4 linked regions of the Coturnix japonica genome follow. The protein of the gene in region 3 purifies or fractionates together with the protein of the main gene of each other region. This does not show direct contact. Links are inferred from orthologs where the notes say so. Each region holds a gene or a part of one and is shown on either strand. Other genes may lie near its edges.

The links.
Region 1: the proteins of EGFR (region 3) and LGALS3 purify together in Homo sapiens (affinity purification with western blotting; 3 studies listed by BioGRID and IntAct, with this or other methods). This does not show direct contact. The link is inferred for Coturnix japonica from reciprocal best matches to the Homo sapiens genes EGFR and LGALS3.
Region 2: the proteins of EGFR (region 3) and EIF2B3 purify together in Homo sapiens (affinity purification with mass spectrometry; 4 studies listed by BioGRID and IntAct, with this or other methods). This does not show direct contact. The link is inferred for Coturnix japonica from reciprocal best matches to the Homo sapiens genes EGFR and EIF2B3.
Region 4: the proteins of EGFR (region 3) and phosphatidylinositol 3,4,5-trisphosphate 5-phosphatase 2-like purify together in Homo sapiens (affinity purification with western blotting; 3 studies listed by BioGRID and IntAct, with this or other methods). This does not show direct contact. The link is inferred for Coturnix japonica from reciprocal best matches to the Homo sapiens genes EGFR and INPPL1.

The regions. Positions count from the first base shown.
Region 1 is NC_029520.1:51,128,930-51,132,969, reverse strand, and holds the start of LGALS3 (galectin-3), read left to right. Parts: upstream 1-1,231; 5' UTR 1,232-1,353; intron 1,354-2,376; 5' UTR 2,377-2,380; coding exon 2,381-2,398; intron 2,399-2,736; coding exon 2,737-3,000; intron 3,001-3,224; coding exon 3,225-3,313; intron 3,314-3,471; coding exon 3,472-3,640; intron 3,641-3,799; coding exon 3,800-3,955; 3' UTR 3,956-4,040. UniProt on the Homo sapiens protein: Galactose-specific lectin which binds IgE. May mediate with the alpha-3, beta-1 integrin the stimulation by CSPG4 of endothelial cells migration.
Region 2 is NC_029523.1:18,532,013-18,535,970, reverse strand, and holds the start of EIF2B3 (translation initiation factor eIF-2B subunit gamma), read left to right. Parts: upstream 1-1,149; 5' UTR 1,150-1,210; coding exon 1,211-1,279; intron 1,280-1,449; coding exon 1,450-1,597; intron 1,598-3,541; coding exon 3,542-3,681; intron 3,682-3,958. Other genes in the region: E3 ubiquitin-protein ligase HECTD3-like, read left to right, coding at 1-43, 186-254, 384-465, 537-608, 710-791. UniProt on the Homo sapiens protein: Acts as a component of the translation initiation factor 2B (eIF2B) complex, which catalyzes the exchange of GDP for GTP on the eukaryotic initiation factor 2 (eIF2) complex gamma subunit.
Region 3 is NC_029517.1:73,942,651-73,946,161, forward strand, and holds part of EGFR (epidermal growth factor receptor), read left to right. Parts: intron 1-264; coding exon 265-397; intron 398-2,069; coding exon 2,070-2,169; intron 2,170-3,511. UniProt on the Homo sapiens protein: Receptor tyrosine kinase binding ligands of the EGF family and activating several signaling cascades to convert extracellular cues into appropriate cellular responses.
Region 4 is NC_029519.1:1,200,256-1,204,448, forward strand, and holds the start of phosphatidylinositol 3,4,5-trisphosphate 5-phosphatase 2-like, read right to left. Parts: upstream 2,810-4,193; 5' UTR 2,687-2,809; intron 2,538-2,686; 5' UTR 2,296-2,537; coding exon 2,159-2,295; intron 1,393-2,158; coding exon 1,329-1,392; intron 931-1,328; coding exon 792-930; intron 717-791; coding exon 572-716; intron 324-571; coding exon 183-323; intron 77-182; coding exon 1-76. UniProt on the Homo sapiens protein: Phosphatidylinositol (PtdIns) phosphatase that specifically hydrolyzes the 5-phosphate of phosphatidylinositol-3,4,5-trisphosphate (PtdIns(3,4,5)P3) to produce PtdIns(3,4)P2, thereby negatively regulating the PI3K (phosphoinositide 3-kinase) pathways.

The sequences.
Region 1 (4,040 bases), on a different chromosome or scaffold from region 3:
TTTGCAGTTTTATGGGCTCACTAAAATCCAAACAGCCCTATAAAATAGATGGGAATCATTCATTTCCAGTCAGCAGTTTCTGGGTTTGATGTGATTTAAGCCCATGTAAATAACTCTCCCATTCAGGTGGGGACTTTTGCCTCTGGGGGAATTCAGTGTCCTCAGGGATGACAGAAACACACAGAATCACAGAATGGGTTGTAAAGGCCCATAATGTCCATCCAGCTCCAACCCTGCTGTGTGCAGGTACCAACCAGCAGCCCAGGCTGCCCAGAGCCACATCCCCCACTTGGTTTTATGCACTTCTTCATCTTCAACGACCTCTTTGCCCTCTCCTCCCTTTCCCAACCTGAGCTGTGCAGCCCATTGACCCAGCTGGCAGCCGCACAGCAAACATCGCTACGAGGCAATCACGCCAAATCCCCTCAATAAACGGAGTTTAACAGGCTGAAGCTCCGTGGATGATTGCAGGGCAGCCTATCAAGGGCCGTTCCTAGAGGGAAATGCGGAGTGCTGGGCGCTGCTTTAAGGTGCGGCGGTGCCGGGATGTCCTGGGAAAGCAGCGCCGGGGGCGGGGGGAGCACACAGGGCTCAGCTGCACTGCTCAGCTCTGGTTTGATTCGGGATTGATCAAAGGATGCGATGGGAGAAACCCGGGGGGGTTGGGAGCAAACTGTGCCCTCACGGTCCGACCCATCAGCCCCGCAGCTCCGTCCTGTGCCCATTCAGGTGAACGAAGGAACGGAGCCACGCTCAGATTCCGTTTCCTGTTTTCAGTTCTGATTTCGTAACACCGTGGCCGTTGTGTAACTGCAGCAGGAGGAGAAAAACAGGAGAACCTCTCGGAAAAGAGCCCCATCCTGGGCTGTGCACCATCAGCCTGCACTGCACAGCACAGCACAGCACTGCATTGCATTGCACAGCACTGCATAGCACTGCACAGCTGCCATGGCTCCATCTGATCAATCACGAGTGAATCCAACCCGCTGTGCTGGTCTCCTGCCCTGGGCCATCGGCTGCCGCTCGTTCTCCGAGTTCTTTCCCAGCCTTGTTGGTTTTATGGCTCTATGATCCCATGACTCACGCCGGGCGCTGTCGGGGTGGGTGATGACCCGCAATGAGCCGGAACCATCGATGCGTCCAAGCCCTCGGTGCTCGATGTGGTGACGTTTCAGACCGCTGGGAGGGGACGCCGCGGGTGTCGTGGTGCTGCGCTGCCCGTGGGGCTGGGCTCTGCTCAATGCTCCGTGCTCTGTGCTCCGCCCCGGGGCCGGGCAGCTCCGGGTGGGGATATTGCCCGGCCCCAACATAGAGCCCGACACCCCGCCTTGGTGCGCGGCCCGACAGCTGCAGGTAGGGGAGTAGGGGAGCTCTGGGACTGCGGGTACCGGGTTGGACGGAGCTGCCACCCCTGGGCAGTTGGGTTGTACGGCTTTGCCCACCATCCTGCACGTTGCTTTGCTTCTGAACCCAAATGGTTTCCCAATGAAGGGTTCTCCCAAAGGCTGAGCCGGGTGTCGACACGGTTTGGACTCGATGATCTTAGATGTCTTTTCCAGCCTTAACCGCTCTATGAATTATAAAGTGGGACTTTCAGGACTCGGGGGGTTCGTTGGCACCTGCCTGGCCGAGCTGGGACAGCCCAACTTGGAGAGGCCCGACCTGCACCATGGGAAGCAGAGGGGTGGGAAAAGCAGAGGGCAAAATCCTGCACGGCAAAGTGGGGGCAGCTGAAAGTCATCGCTGCCAGTTGGTGCCCGAAGGGCTGCTTGAAAGTCACTGCTTCAAGTCACTGCTTGAAGTCCCTGCTTGGAAGTCCCTGCTTGGAAGTCACGCAGGCTCTGCATTGCATTTTGCTGGAGGAAGAGTTTGGTGCTGGGGAAACTCAGCTTGATTTCCGTATTGCTGTAGCAGCCCGGCTGGGTTTACTCAGCCCTTGGTGTTACTCAGCCCTTGGTGTTGCTCAGTGTTGCTTTAGAAGAGAACTTTGCCACTTTCCATTCGGAATTTTCCTTTTTCCCTCCCATTTTTGCCTCTCCCCGTTTATTTCCCCCCCTTCTCTCTTTGCTCATGAATGCACTCTTTGATAGCAGCAATTCAGCCTCAGGCCGCAGCGTTTCTGCACGGCGCAGCTTCGCCTTTTGGGGTGGCTGTAAATCCCATTGCAGCCCACGTGTCCCCATAGGGATGGCACAGGGGGGTCCCCCTATAGGACCCTCCTCTCCCATCCCATCCCAGCTGCAGGCCGGGCTCTTTGGATTTGGAACCATGAGGCACCTCTGGGCCTGGTTATGGTGTAGATGGTGAATCACCACCAGCCGTGTAAGCTGGGAGGGCAATAAAACGACTTCCCATCCTTTGTCTTTTTTGTTATAGGACAATGTCGGACGGTTTCTCTGTGAGTATCGGCTCCTTCCAACACACAGGGCTCTGTGGGGGCACTGCATGGAGGTGGGGACCTGCAGTGGGGAAATCATCACTGCGGGTGTTTGGGAAGTTGGGGATGTGGCACTGAGGGCTGATGCTGATTGTGAAGGTCTTTTCCAACCGTAATGATTTTGTGATTCTATGATTCCACGTTGCTGCCAATCCGTGTAACACCAATCAAGGTGCATTCAAGGACTTTGGGGCTCTCAGCACCAGCACGTGGTGTTGTGCAGGCCATGCAGGCCATGTGCTGGCAGCCCCACTGGATTCTGCTTCTCTTCCCCCTCCTCCTCTCCCCTCCATCCCCAGCTCTCCGATGCTCTGCCTGCTCACAACCCTGGTGCCCCCCCACCCCAGGGCTGGAACCAGCCCCCGGGACCTGGGGCCTTTCCACCGTACCCTGGGTACCCAGGTGCTGGATACCCTGGAGCACCAGGACCGTACCCGGGGGCACCGGGACCACATCATGGACCTCCAGGACATCATGGACCACCAGGACCACATCATGGACCACCAGGACCATACCCTGGAGGACCAGCAGGACCATACTCTGGAACTCCATCCGCTCCACTGGTAACAGCTCTGTCCTATTTCAAGGGTTTCTGGTTCAGCAGTTCCTCATTGAGCTGGGCTGTGGGAGGGACCTGGAGCTGAATGTCCTCAGCAGGTTGCACGAGCAGTCAGTCACATTGCTGTCACATTGCTGTCACGCCAACACCCAGCCCTTGTCTGACAGTCAGTCCTGTGCTGCTCGTTAACCTGCTGTTGTGCTCACACCACATCCCTGTCCTCTGCAGAAAGTCCCCTACGATCTGCCCCTGCCATCAGGCCTGGTGCCTCGGCTGCTCATAACCATCACCGGGACCATCAACCCAAATCCCAACAGGTACAGACGGGCTGCAGCAGTGTTTAGGGGCAGAGTTCGCTTTCTGAATGACATCCAGCTTCTCTGAAATCAAACGTGACACAAAAGAGTCTCTTAAATCCTCCAGCACTGCTCTGTCGTTACCTGAAAAAGCAGCTCTTTGATTGTTGCCTTGGCAGGTTCTCGCTGGATTTCAAGAGGGGCCAAGACATTGCCTTCCACTTCAACCCCCGTTTCAACGAAGACCACAAAAGGGTCATTGTCTGTAACTCAATGATCAACAACAACTGGGGGAAGGAGGAGAGAACAGCTCCTAGGTTCCCATTTGAACCTGGGTCCCCCTTCAAGGTAACAATAAAAGAAGGAAAGAAAAGCTGTTCTTCCCATTTCTCATTGCATTCTTTGTGCTGTCACCATGGGGCAGGTTGCTGTCAGGCTCCTGCAGTGCAGCAAAGGTGACCGGTGCTCCTTGGTTCCATTCTGGCTCACTTGATGTTTCTATTCCAGCTCCAGGTGCTCTGTGAGGGGGATCACTTCAAGGTGGCAGCCAACGATGCTCATCTGCTGCAGTTCAACTTCCGTGAGAAGAGGCTGAACGAGGTGACCAAGCTCTGCATCGCTGGGGACATCACCCTCACCAGCGTCCTGACCTCCATGATTTAATCACTGAGCTGTGCCTTTAACACAAGCCCAGCACTCCTCAGAGAGCTGTGACAGCAGCGCCTTCCTGGGTGATTACTTTGAAGCA
Region 2 (3,958 bases), on a different chromosome or scaffold from region 3:
TGCGGGATCCCTGAGGTGACAGTAGATGAGCTGAAGAAGTTCAGTAAGTAGTGGGCAGCATTAAGCTGCGCTCATGGATGCTGCTCATCCTCTGCACGCATCCTGCCCTGTGTCCTGCATCCACCCCATGCTGATGTCCTTTGTGGAGCTCTTCTCACAGAGCCCCTGTGTGTTCCTTGCTGCAGTCACCTTCGAGGACTTTGAAAGCTCCCGTGTCCTTCAGTTCTGGGATGCCCTCAAGAACTTCACCAGCGGTGAGTGACCGCTGTCCTGCTCTGCACCCACTGGGCCAGGCCTTCAGGGTCACTTCTCCTGCTGGGAGTGTCCCTTGGCTTTCCCAGGCCCTGAAGGTGACCCCAGCTCTGTTCCCTGTCCTTTCCCAGAGGATCTCAGCCGCTTCCTCAAGTTTGTCACCGGCCGCAGCCGCCTCCCGGTTCAGCTCACCATCTACCCGGACCGTTCCCTGTGAGTCTGCCTGTCCTGCAGGCTGTGGTCCTGCCATGCAGACCCCTGACCCATCTCTCCTTTCTCCCAAGCCCTGAGCGGTTGGACATGATGCCCGAGGCCTCCACGTGCTCCTGCACCATGTACTTGCCCAAATACTCCACGTGAGTGCCTGGGGATGAGGACGCTCAGCCTCCCCACCGTGGGGGGCAGTGGGAGGGAGGTCAGTGATAGACCCCGGCCTAACCCAGTGTCTCACCCCCAGGGTCAAGATGTGCGAGGAGCTGCTGCGCTTCGCCGTGTATAACTGCATGTCCATCGACACCGACAAGGACAACTGGGACTAGTGGCAATAAAAGAACTGTTTGCTCACAGCTGTGTCCGTGGTGTGGGGAGCGCTGTGTGGGGTCTCTGCGCTGTCCTTTCCCCGGCCATGGTTGTATCCCCATCCTTATCCTCTTGTCCCCGTGATTCTGTGGGTTCAGTGTTTCCCTCCCATCTCTGTACAACCTCGTTGTTGTTTCCTGCTGCCTGGCTAGAGATACCCGTCCCCCTACAGCCGACTCCCCGCATTGCATCCTGCAGCCCCCACGGTGCAGTTCCACCCCAGCCCACACGGTGGCGCTGTGTCTCCCCGCAGCGATCCCCGACTCGTCCATCTCTCTGTGCTCATCTCGCTGCCCTGGCTGCCAGGCTCGGATGGGATCGGTGCGATCGGCGCTCTCTCGCCGCTCTCCGCCATCGATGCGTTCTGCGCTCCACGCGCATGCGCACCGCGCGCCGGCGCCGCCATAGTGGTTCTGTCAGAGAGGTGCTGGGCGCCGGCGGAGCGGAGGTAACGGCGGGGACGGGCCGGAGCGGGGCGGCCATGGGACAGAACGGGGGGACGGGCGTGATTCCGAGCAGCCACCAGGGGCACGGGTCGGGCTGGGCCGAAGCCAACCGGTGTTACCTCGGCTGGGCCCGGTGCTGCCGTGTGTGAGCGGTGCCGTTGCTGTGTTGCAGATGGAGTTCCAGGCCGTGCTGATGGCGGCGGGGGGCGGCTCTCGCATGACGGACCTGACGTCCAGCATCCCGAAGCCGCTGCTCCCGGTGGGAAACCGGCCCCTGCTCTGGTACCCGCTGAACCTGCTGGAGCGAGCCGGGTTCGAAGGTGAGCGCTGCCCGGGCTGTGCCAGCTGGGCTGCATTAAAGGCCGCTTAATGTACTAGAGCCGCTGTTGTCAGTGCCGCACCTGTGCCCCCACAGCCCCCATCAAGGCTTGAATCATAGAATCACCAAGGTTGGAAAAGACCTAAAAGATCATCCAGTCCAACCGTTCACCTGTTACCAACAGCTCCCACTAAACCGTGTCCCTCAACAAAATGGTCTCTGTTATTATATGTTTTATATACTGTCCAGGATAATTCCTCTTCACACAGTGCAGCCCAAGCGTGTCAGGAAGATGGACACCCATGTTCCAGACTGAGCATTTACTTCAGTTACAAAGATTGTTACAGCTGCAGACTTTAAGCTCAGGCTCTGGTTTCTGTCATTGTTTTATGCTGGTGCTGACCTTCATTGACTCTCAGTGTTATTCTTTCCATGAGGATGCACAGGATCTGTCCTTTAACTCATTCCTGTTTAATACATGGATACACTGAAAACAACATTTTCTCTTTTACCTGTGTTATTTACTGAAATATTTTGCTTTCCACACGCTCCTTTTGTAAGGGCAGCTGGGGGAACCTCTTCAGAGGAACCTGATTCCTATTTAGGGATTAGGGTTTAAAAATACAATAACTGATAGTCTTCCTCCTTTCACTCCTTCTTCCTCAGTTTTCTAAAGACCCCACGTCCGTGTGCTTTTCATAACTTTGGCGTCTTCTCCACGTTTATTTCTGTGAGTCATTAATAACGATGCTGTGAGGTGCACGCCAGCTCTCTCAGATAGCTCTCGGTTTGTTGTTCCAGTTTGGCCTGAAGTTCAGGGTTACCTGCCCTGTGTGAGGTGTTTAGTCATTGCTGCACTGAGCAGCTCAGTGCTGGGCTTTGGGCAGAACAGCACAGGGGGAGCTGGTGGCCTTGGGATTTTGCTTTTGTACTTGGCTTTTTTGCTGCTTCTTTTGTTTCTCTTCAGTGACTGCATCATAGAGCATCTCTTCGGTGTTCTGTGTTGAGAATGTGACCTTTTCCAAACTCTTGTTCTTTCTGGTGATGTACCAATTAGCAGTGTATCGTATTAGCATAGTATATTAGCATATACCCAATAGATGTATTCAGGTTGGCTTATTACTGTTTTGGTGCCCAGCAACAAAGGGAAAAATCAATATAGTCCTTTGCCTTTATTTTGTTTTCTTAAGAAATCCTTGAGAGGCTTTCTATCACAGAATCACAGAATGACCCGGGTTGGAAGGGACCTCAAGGATCATGTAGTTCCAACCCCCTGCCTGGCAGGGCCACCAAACATACACCTTTACTAGATCAGGTTGCCCAGGGCCCCGTCCAACCTGGTCTTGAACACCTCCAAGGACGGGGCATCCACAACCTCCCTGGGCAGCCTGTTCCAGGGCCTCACCACTCTCCTAGTGAAGAATGTTCTTGAAAACCTGGATATGCAAGTTTTATGTACGCAGCTTCCATAAGCAACCAACCACCTCCTTGCTTTTCTTGCTTCTGCTCCCTGGCCAAGCAGCACGTTCTTGTGTAAATTCTGCAGTAGTATGAATCCCCTCCCTGGATCATAACTTTAGTTATTTGTTAGGTGACAATTTGGTTCTTTTTAACTGTGTTAACAAGTAGTTGTTCCCCAGTCTGATTCACCGCTTCCCTTTTGTCCCAGCTGCAAGCACGTCATCCTTCCTAATATTTAGGCCTTTGTCCTTCTCAATGAATTCATGCTAAAGTCTGGGCTTATGGCCTCTACCTGACACCAGTTCTTCCAGTTCACAAACTACTCCATTTCTTTGCCAGGCTGGTGTTGGCAATAGTTTAACCAATACCTTGTGATGCTGTGCTTTGTGGTGGTATCCAGTGAGCTGTGCAGGATTGGGCAGGGTGAAAGGCAAAGCTCCAGAGTGCTGCTGTTGTTTGATCTTACCCCACTTTCCTCTCCTAGAGGTCATCGTAATTACAAGGAAGGAAATCCAAAAAATGCTAAACTTGGACACGAAAATGAAGCTGGATTTTGTGTACATCAGTGACAACGTGGACATGGGCACAGCGGATTCGCTGAGGCATATTCACCAGAAAATAAAGGTATTTTTGTACTTGATTGAACTTGACTAGAAGACATTTGTTGAAACTCATCTTCTTTTTTCTTTTTCCCCATTACACTTTGATACCCTGAGAGCTGATCTTGTAATGCTATTTCCCAATCTGCAGAAGGTCTGTCTGTTGTGTAGGTCACCTCACAGGGGAACCCATATGAGGACTCAAATAGAAATAATAGCTAGGAAGGCCAGAGCAAATCCAGGCTGGGCACCAGCTGCCTTGTAGTCCTTGTGGGCTTTCTGGTGGGTTAATGAAGAGGTGT
Region 3 (3,511 bases):
ATGTATCTCCTCTGGTATTGGTTTTGCTTTACTGTAAGTCTGGTACATGATCACAATGGATCTCATTTGAATTTTGAAAGGCCAGAATTTGCTCCAAAAACAAAGACAAGAAGTCAAACTTCAGGAATTAGGAAAACTGTGATTATTCCTCTTCTACTAGGGTCATTTGTGTCTGCTTTGGAATACTTTGGAAAAAAAATGACTGTCAGGATGGAGTTATTTGCTATTCTCTTGCCCTGAAGTTTATGGCTTCTCTTTTCTCAGCTGCTGACAGGCATGTGTGTGACCCGCTGTGCTCAGATGTGGGCTGCTGGGGCCCAGGGCCCTTCCACTGCTTTTCCTGCAGGTTTTTCAGTCGTCAGAAGGAGTGTGTGAAACAGTGCAACATCCTGCAAGGGTAAGGGGCATGCAGGCACACAGGGGTTTTGGTTTTAGAGTGTATGTGGCTAGCAAGTGACTAAAACATAGGGTCTTCAGATTTCACTGGTGTGGCAGAGGTGTTAGCCTGAGCACTGTACACCTCCCACCCCCTACCCCCACCCCCCCACTAAAATAAAATAAAATAAAATAAAATAAAATAAAATAAAATAAAATAAAATAAAATAAAATAAAATAAAATAAAAAAAAATAAAAATCAGGGAAACTTTCAGGCATAGGGAAAAATTCAGGCCCAACATTGCTCATACCCACTGCTCTTGAGAATCAGGCAAGCTGGGAAGCTATCACGGAGGTTAAATATTACCTTTCCTTCCAAAATGGTGTAGAGAAATTTAAAATCTCAATCTGTGCCTGTCATGTTAAGCGCATCAGGCAAGAGTCAGAATTAGTTGTCATCACCAACCACAGAGGCAGTTGTAGAAACATAGCCACCCCCGAATAGGCTTCCTTGCTGCAAAGGTTCTCATGCTCAGCATATTGGATTTGCTGAACTGCATTGTGTTTTATTAGATCAAGTAGCACAGGTTGGGAATAGACATGATTCTCACTTCAGGTATGTAGTTAACAGCAACAGCAGAGGGTACCCTGGTGTGGACAGGGAGATCCTGCTCACCAGCCAGATGAGAAACTTGCCCCTCCAATATGCAGTGTTGCAGTTAAGGGAAAAATAGGCTTCATCTGCAGAGAACTAGGTGCCGTAATTTCAGGCAAAAATATTGCTTCAGTTTTTCATGGGTCAAGGAAAGCGTACCAGTGTCTTTGTATCAAGGCTGTGGCTGTTTTTTTGTTTTTTGTTTTTTTTTTCAGGCAGTTCAGCAGGTGATACAGGCAGGGAAAGCATGGATAGCACCAAAAAATATGATGATCTTCAGTAATGTGCAATAGATTAACGCTTTGCCACCCATAAATTTGTTGGTGTAAATACTTCTGCCCTTGTTTCTTACTAAAATCTTAAGTGTTAAAAAAGAGCTTGACAGGATGTTCATGTCCATGATGATTTGTCTGTCAGCTTGCCATTCAGCAGCTGTCTTTCATAAGTGAATTCCTTCCAGCATCTTTTATGACCTGAAGGGCAGATCTGGGCATTTTTTGTGTCCTATGATGTGTAGATGTTGTTTAATTAATAACACTATTACTTGAATTAGAACAGCTTTATTGCTATTGAAACCATCTGTTCCCAACTTTCATATTTTAGTGATTCATTGAGCATGAATTTAATTATCAGAGCATTGCTCTTTAACTTTCCTAATTATTATTTAAAGCTTTAGAAACATTTGAAATTATTTTGCTGATCTATTTGTACCACTGTCATTTAAAAACCTCTGGAAACCTTTGGTAATATTCTGTGTCATTAGCTTAAAATGGAAAGTAAATTCATTTGTAGTATGTGTCCTTGAGTGCCATGTGTTCCACTGCCATCAAATTTCCTTTTCCCTTACCTCTCCACTGAGCTGAGAAAGTGCCCCTGGTGTAATGACATTAGACAAGATGGTCCCAACACCTCCCCCTGTGTCAGGACAATCATCCTAATGGGTTCAAGCTGGAAAAGCCAGGAGGTGGAAAGACAAACAAATTTTAATCCTCACTAATTATCTGGGGTTTTATTATTTCTCTTTTTTCTTTTATTCTAGGGAGCCACGTGAGTTTGAAAGAGACTCCAAATGCCTCCCCTGCCACTCGGAGTGTCTGGTGCAGAACTCCACTGCACACAACGCAACCTGCACTGGACCTGTAAGGATAGACCTAGCTTAACAAACGAGTACTTTGGGCTGTAGTTCAGTATTATGAGATGTTCTTGAATTCCGGTGTACCCTTTGCCATGGTCAGGCAGAGATGGGGGAGAGGGGGAAAAATAGAGAGCAAGATCTGTTTTGGGGGGAGAAAAAACAAGAGAGAACTTTAGGATGTGTTTTTCCACCATTACATGTGTTATCCACAGCGCCTCATAGTCACATAGGGTCTTTCTTATGTCTTGTGGGAAAAAAAAAAAAAACCAGACACACACACGCAAAAAAAAAAAAAAAAAAAAAAAAAAAACTTAAGTGAAGACATAGTAATTTGGGAATGTGTAGCTATTGAACAGCCAAGTTAGCATGAACAGATTACACTTCCTTACAGGAAAAGAGTTGTTAAAATAGTGGATAAGTACTGTAGCTTGAAAAGACCTGTTAAAATTGAGATTTTATCAATTGAGATTTTAATCAATTTAAATCTGAATTTACTGAAAAATACCCAGGATGCAGTTTTTACTTCAAGCTGTTTTTAACTAATTAGGTTAAAGTTTATAGCCAATGTCAAAGTAGTTGCAGGCATAAATTATGATAAAAGAAAAACAATCAAAACAAAATGATTGGATTTTCTTACTTTATATAGTTATATACATGTTCATACTTACACAAAATACTTTACAAAAGTCAAAACAGTGCAGTCTTGCCATTCAGTCATGAATCTTTCTCAGTGTTTTTATATCATTTTTCTTTAATTTTTAGAATACTCATATCTGTTATAAAATGTTCAGTCTAGAAACTGTGAAAAATAATTCAATTTTAGTCAGATAAAATTCATGTCTTAATAATAAATTTGTAATTCTCCTTAATCCTCCTCTGTCTCACTGAACCTTTCTCACTAACTGAAATCAAATCACCTGCTTCTTTAAAACACCTCTTGTCATCTCCTGCAGCTTCTGTATTTGACCCTTGCCCGGTAGTCTGAGGAGTGACTGCTCAGCAATGTGATCTATTTTCATCCTCCCTTCCAGTACAGACCACCATGGCCTAAGGGATGCCATTATCATTATAAACCACTTCAGGTGGTGACCACCCCTTGTTCCAGCATCTAGTCAATTATATTAGCCCTTATATGACCCAGAACAGTTTCCCCGATTTAAAATACTTACAGCCTTCCAGGTGCTGTTACAGTCTGAGTAAAAACAGTTTTGCCAAAAATGGCCAGAGGCATTGCCTTTAAACACAAATGAAATGCTATTCAAAGTTGAAAATGCACAGCATCCTTGGGTAGTTTCCACTTCCTGTACTTGTTGAAACACAGAGAAACCAGGAAAATAGTGATTTGC
Region 4 (4,193 bases), on a different chromosome or scaffold from region 3:
CGGACTGCGTGGGGACACGGGGGGTTCAAACACTCTGGCCAGGGTCTCCAGCCCCGCCAGCGTGAAGTCGATCTCACTGCAGAGAGACAAAGGAACACAAAGGCTGGAGATGCACAGGGACAGGGACAAGCAGATGGCCCCTCAGCCCTGCCCTCCTCCTGCCATCCCCATGTGCCACTCACCTGTGCAGTGCCTGGCAGGCAGTGACGAGAGCAGCACTGAGATGGCACAGCTGCGGGTGCCCACTGCACAGTGTAGCCAGGTCCAGTGGCAGGTGCTGTGCCAGGTAGTCAGCCATGAAGCCCATGAAGTCACTGGATGGACTGCAAGGAGGGGCAGTGGATGGGAGCGGAGGTGCCCGGGCTCAGAGAGGTGCCAGCCCTGGGCACGGCACTCAGGATTTGGAAACCACAGGGAAAGGCATTTTGTGCCCTGCTCCAGCTCCAGCATGAGCAGGGCTGGGTGTGGGCAGCCACCCATTAGAACATACCCTTGGTCTTGTGTTCTTGGGATGTGCCACCTCCACCCTGCTATGCTGTGCCCACCCCATTGCCCCTGAGGAGCACGTTACCTGCTATGAACCTGCTCCTGAAGCCTCAGCTGCAGCTGCTGTGAGATGTGGGGATGGGTGGGGGGAGCACCAGGCCCTGTGCTCCCCCCATTAACCCTGGTGGGCACCACGCTGCCCACATGGCCACCTCTTCCATCCTCCCCATCTGCGGGCACAGATCCCAGCTCAGCGCCATCACCTCTCTGCCGGCAGCCCCAACCCTTTGCCCCCATGCTCTCACCAGAGTCTTCATTGGCTGCTTCCCGGAGCCGGTGCACAGGGTAGAGCAGAGGTGTCACCAGCCCATTGTTGGGCTGCTGGTAGGCACTGATCAGCTCAGGGAGGCTCCGGAAGCACTTGGCCTGAATGCCCTGGATGCTCTGGGGGGCAGAGAAGATGGTGGCCACCGTATCCCCCCATCCACAAGCCAAACACCTCCAGCCAGGTTCATAGCTAGGGTGGGCGACGGGGGATGCTCTGCACAGTCTCACAGCAGGGATAGTGACAGAGAGGGGACAACATTTTCACTAAGCCTCCCCCAGATGCAGCAGCAGTGGGTGGCCGTGGGGATACCCGTGTGGCATCGTTCCCAGGCGGCTGCGCTGCAGAAAGGGTCTGTGCAAAGCTCACACATCCTGTGCTGCTGCACTTATGCAAAAAGCAAACCGCACCGCCCGCTACATGCAAGAAGCTGCAGGCTGCACCTCGCTGTGTGCTGTGCAGAAGTTGGAGGTGGGGGTGAATGCCCCCTTCCCTGAGCACTGCTTCCCGCACCCACCTGGACAGAGAGCAGCCCTTCACTGTTGGGCAGGATGCGGTAGGTGTGGACGTGCCGCTGGAACCTACGGGAGAGCAGAGCATCTGCACCATGTGCACTCTGCAGGCAGAGGAACTGAGCTCCTGCTTTGGGTAATGAAGCTGTTGCCTTGTGCCTGTCCCAGGGTGCCCCATGCCCCATGCTCCCCAGCATCATGTGTTTCCCTTTTGTACCATGCACCTGGCCAGGAAAGCCACAGGGAACCAGGGGGCATCCATCCAAACCCACAGAAGCACTGCCCATACATTTCCAGCGCATCTGAGCAGTATGTCCCTCAGTTGTAGGGGTGATCCACCCCAGCCCGAACCCCACGCCTCCACCAGCAGCACCTGAAGGTGCTGGGGCTGCTCAAACTGGCAGCTGAGAAGTTAACAGCAGGACCTGTGGTCCGGATGCTGGCGCGACAGAGGTTGAACACAGAGGTGATGTTTGTATTCACACAGAGAGGGCTGTGCTGGCTGCTTCCTTCACCCCACGCAGGGGCCAGCCAGGCACCCAGATGCACCTGAATGTGGGCAGCCCCACAGGGCACAGAATGATGCTCCATGGATGTGGGGTGGGAGCTACACAGGCCCCCCCGCCCCAGACTGAGCTGGGCATCATCAAAAAAGCACCATCACAGACAGCTGTGCAAAGCAGAAGTGGTTGCTGCACCCTGCACACATCCTTTTTGCTGTTGAATGATTTGCAGCCCCAACCTTGCCTTGCTGTCATGCTGCACCATCCCCCCACCCTGCTGCACGGACTGGGGACAAGAAAGAAGCAAAGAGCAGAAATAAGGTAGAACTCACAGGAGGCACAGGGCGTACGCCCCTGCAATGGACTCACTGTCCCGCACCAGGAAGCAGCCATCCCGCCCAGCCTTGGCCAGCAGATCTTCAGCCACCACCCTGCTGATGTCCTGGTGGTACCAGCTTGCTGCTGCCATTCTTATGGGTGGCACAATGTCAGCTGCACTGCGTTGTGTCCCCCACTCCACATGGGCTGATTGCCAAGGAAGGTGAAGGTGGGGGCCCAGAGGCTGGGGGTCCCGACGGGTGATGTGCAGCTCCTGCTCAAAGGGTGCCCCACACTGATCCCCCCAGCTGGGCAGTGCAGCAGGAGTGGATCTGGGAGGGCCGTGGGGTGAAGCTGGGGGTCTGGGTGCTCCGCATCATGGGTGGCTGCAGTCTGCAGTGTGCAGGGGGGCAGAGAGAGGCAGATCAGGGACCCACGGCAGCATCACCCCACCAGCATCCTGCCCTGCTGCACCAGGAACATGAGGCCACACAGGCATCCCAGTGGCATATGGAACCCCGTATGTCACCAGAGGTACTCACCGTCCCTCGCAGACATGACACTGCACACCCTGTGCCCCCACTGCCCGTCCCCTGCAGCCAGGCCCACTGCTCGCCGTCCCCGCTCTGCACTGCTGTGCTTGCCCACACTCTTCCTCCTTTATGCTCTGCACACTCCACATCTGGGACAGCCTCCTTGCTCCTCCTCCCACTCTAGCCCTGCTCGCAGGGGGAAGCCAGCAGCCATGCAGGGCACTGAGAACAATGGGGGCTTCCCAAGCACAGGGGTCTCACCACCACCCTGCTCCCATCCAAGCCCAGAGTCCCACCCCTCAGTTGTACCCAGCAGAGGGGATGGAGAGCTGCATGGCATCACTGCACTGAACCAGAGCTGGCAGTGATGGGGATACTGCTGCAATGTGGGGCTGAGCTCCAGCCATGCAGAGATGGTGATAATGTGGGCACTGGGTGGATGAGAAATGTAGGAATCCACTGCTGCATTCATTAACTCTGCTTGGGGGTGTCCCAGCTTCAGAGAAAAGGGATGTGAGAGGCTCAGGAAGGGCATGGGGACCATCACACTGAGGTTTTGCCCCTCGTGCCATGCAGTAAGCAGACCCCACGTGCCAGGAGCTGTGCAGGGCAGCTGCCAACAGGGCTGTGTTAGGGTGATTAGCACCACAGCACTGTTAATTACAGACAAGCTGCAGCCACCATCTGCTGCAGGAGAGACAGAATGGGGGCTTCACCACCCACGCCAGCCTGGCTCCTCCCTGCTCTTTGCACGATTTACTCCAGGCAGTTTACAAGACTGGCACGTGGGCACACCCTGCAGCAAGCAGCACCAGGCACAAGGATGTCCCCACCACCCTCTGCAATAACCTCTCCAAGGTATCCCCTGAGCTCCTGGAGCTCAGGAGGAACCTGGCCAACTCAAGTGGCTACCACCTGGTTTTGGGCTGGCAACTGTGGGCCAGTGGAATTCCCATCCCTCAGCCCATCCCAAGGGCAGCTGCATGGCATGGAGCAGTGACCAAGGACTCTACCACCTGGAGACCCTCTCCCACCAGTGCAGCTCCAGGCTGTTACTTAACCATTCCCGTGGCTGTGGGTCTGGCGGCAGGCAGGATTAGTGCTGACCACAGTGCCTAATCCAGCTCAGGGCAGGAAGGCACGGCACTGCCAGAGGCTTTGGGATATCATTGCTGTTTGTCTGTCTGCACCCATCAGATCATCCTGTGTGCACGAGTGGAGCTGCACGCAGCATGGGGACCCACAGGTAAGGCTTTGTGATGTTCATCAAATAGGAGAAAGGCAACACTCAGGGACAGGGTGGCTGCAGAGTCCAGTGTCCCATCGCCCATGCTGCAGCCACACTGAGACGAGTAGCCACCCAGGTGGGGCTGCACCCAGACCTCCACCACTGGGAAGGTCACAGTTCACGTGGCCCCTGCCCTTGGTAGAAATAGTGCCTGCTAATCTGCAGCGTAAGCAGCTCTGTGCATGCAATTAAAGAGATCACAAGTCCCAGCCCCTGTCAGCACATGCT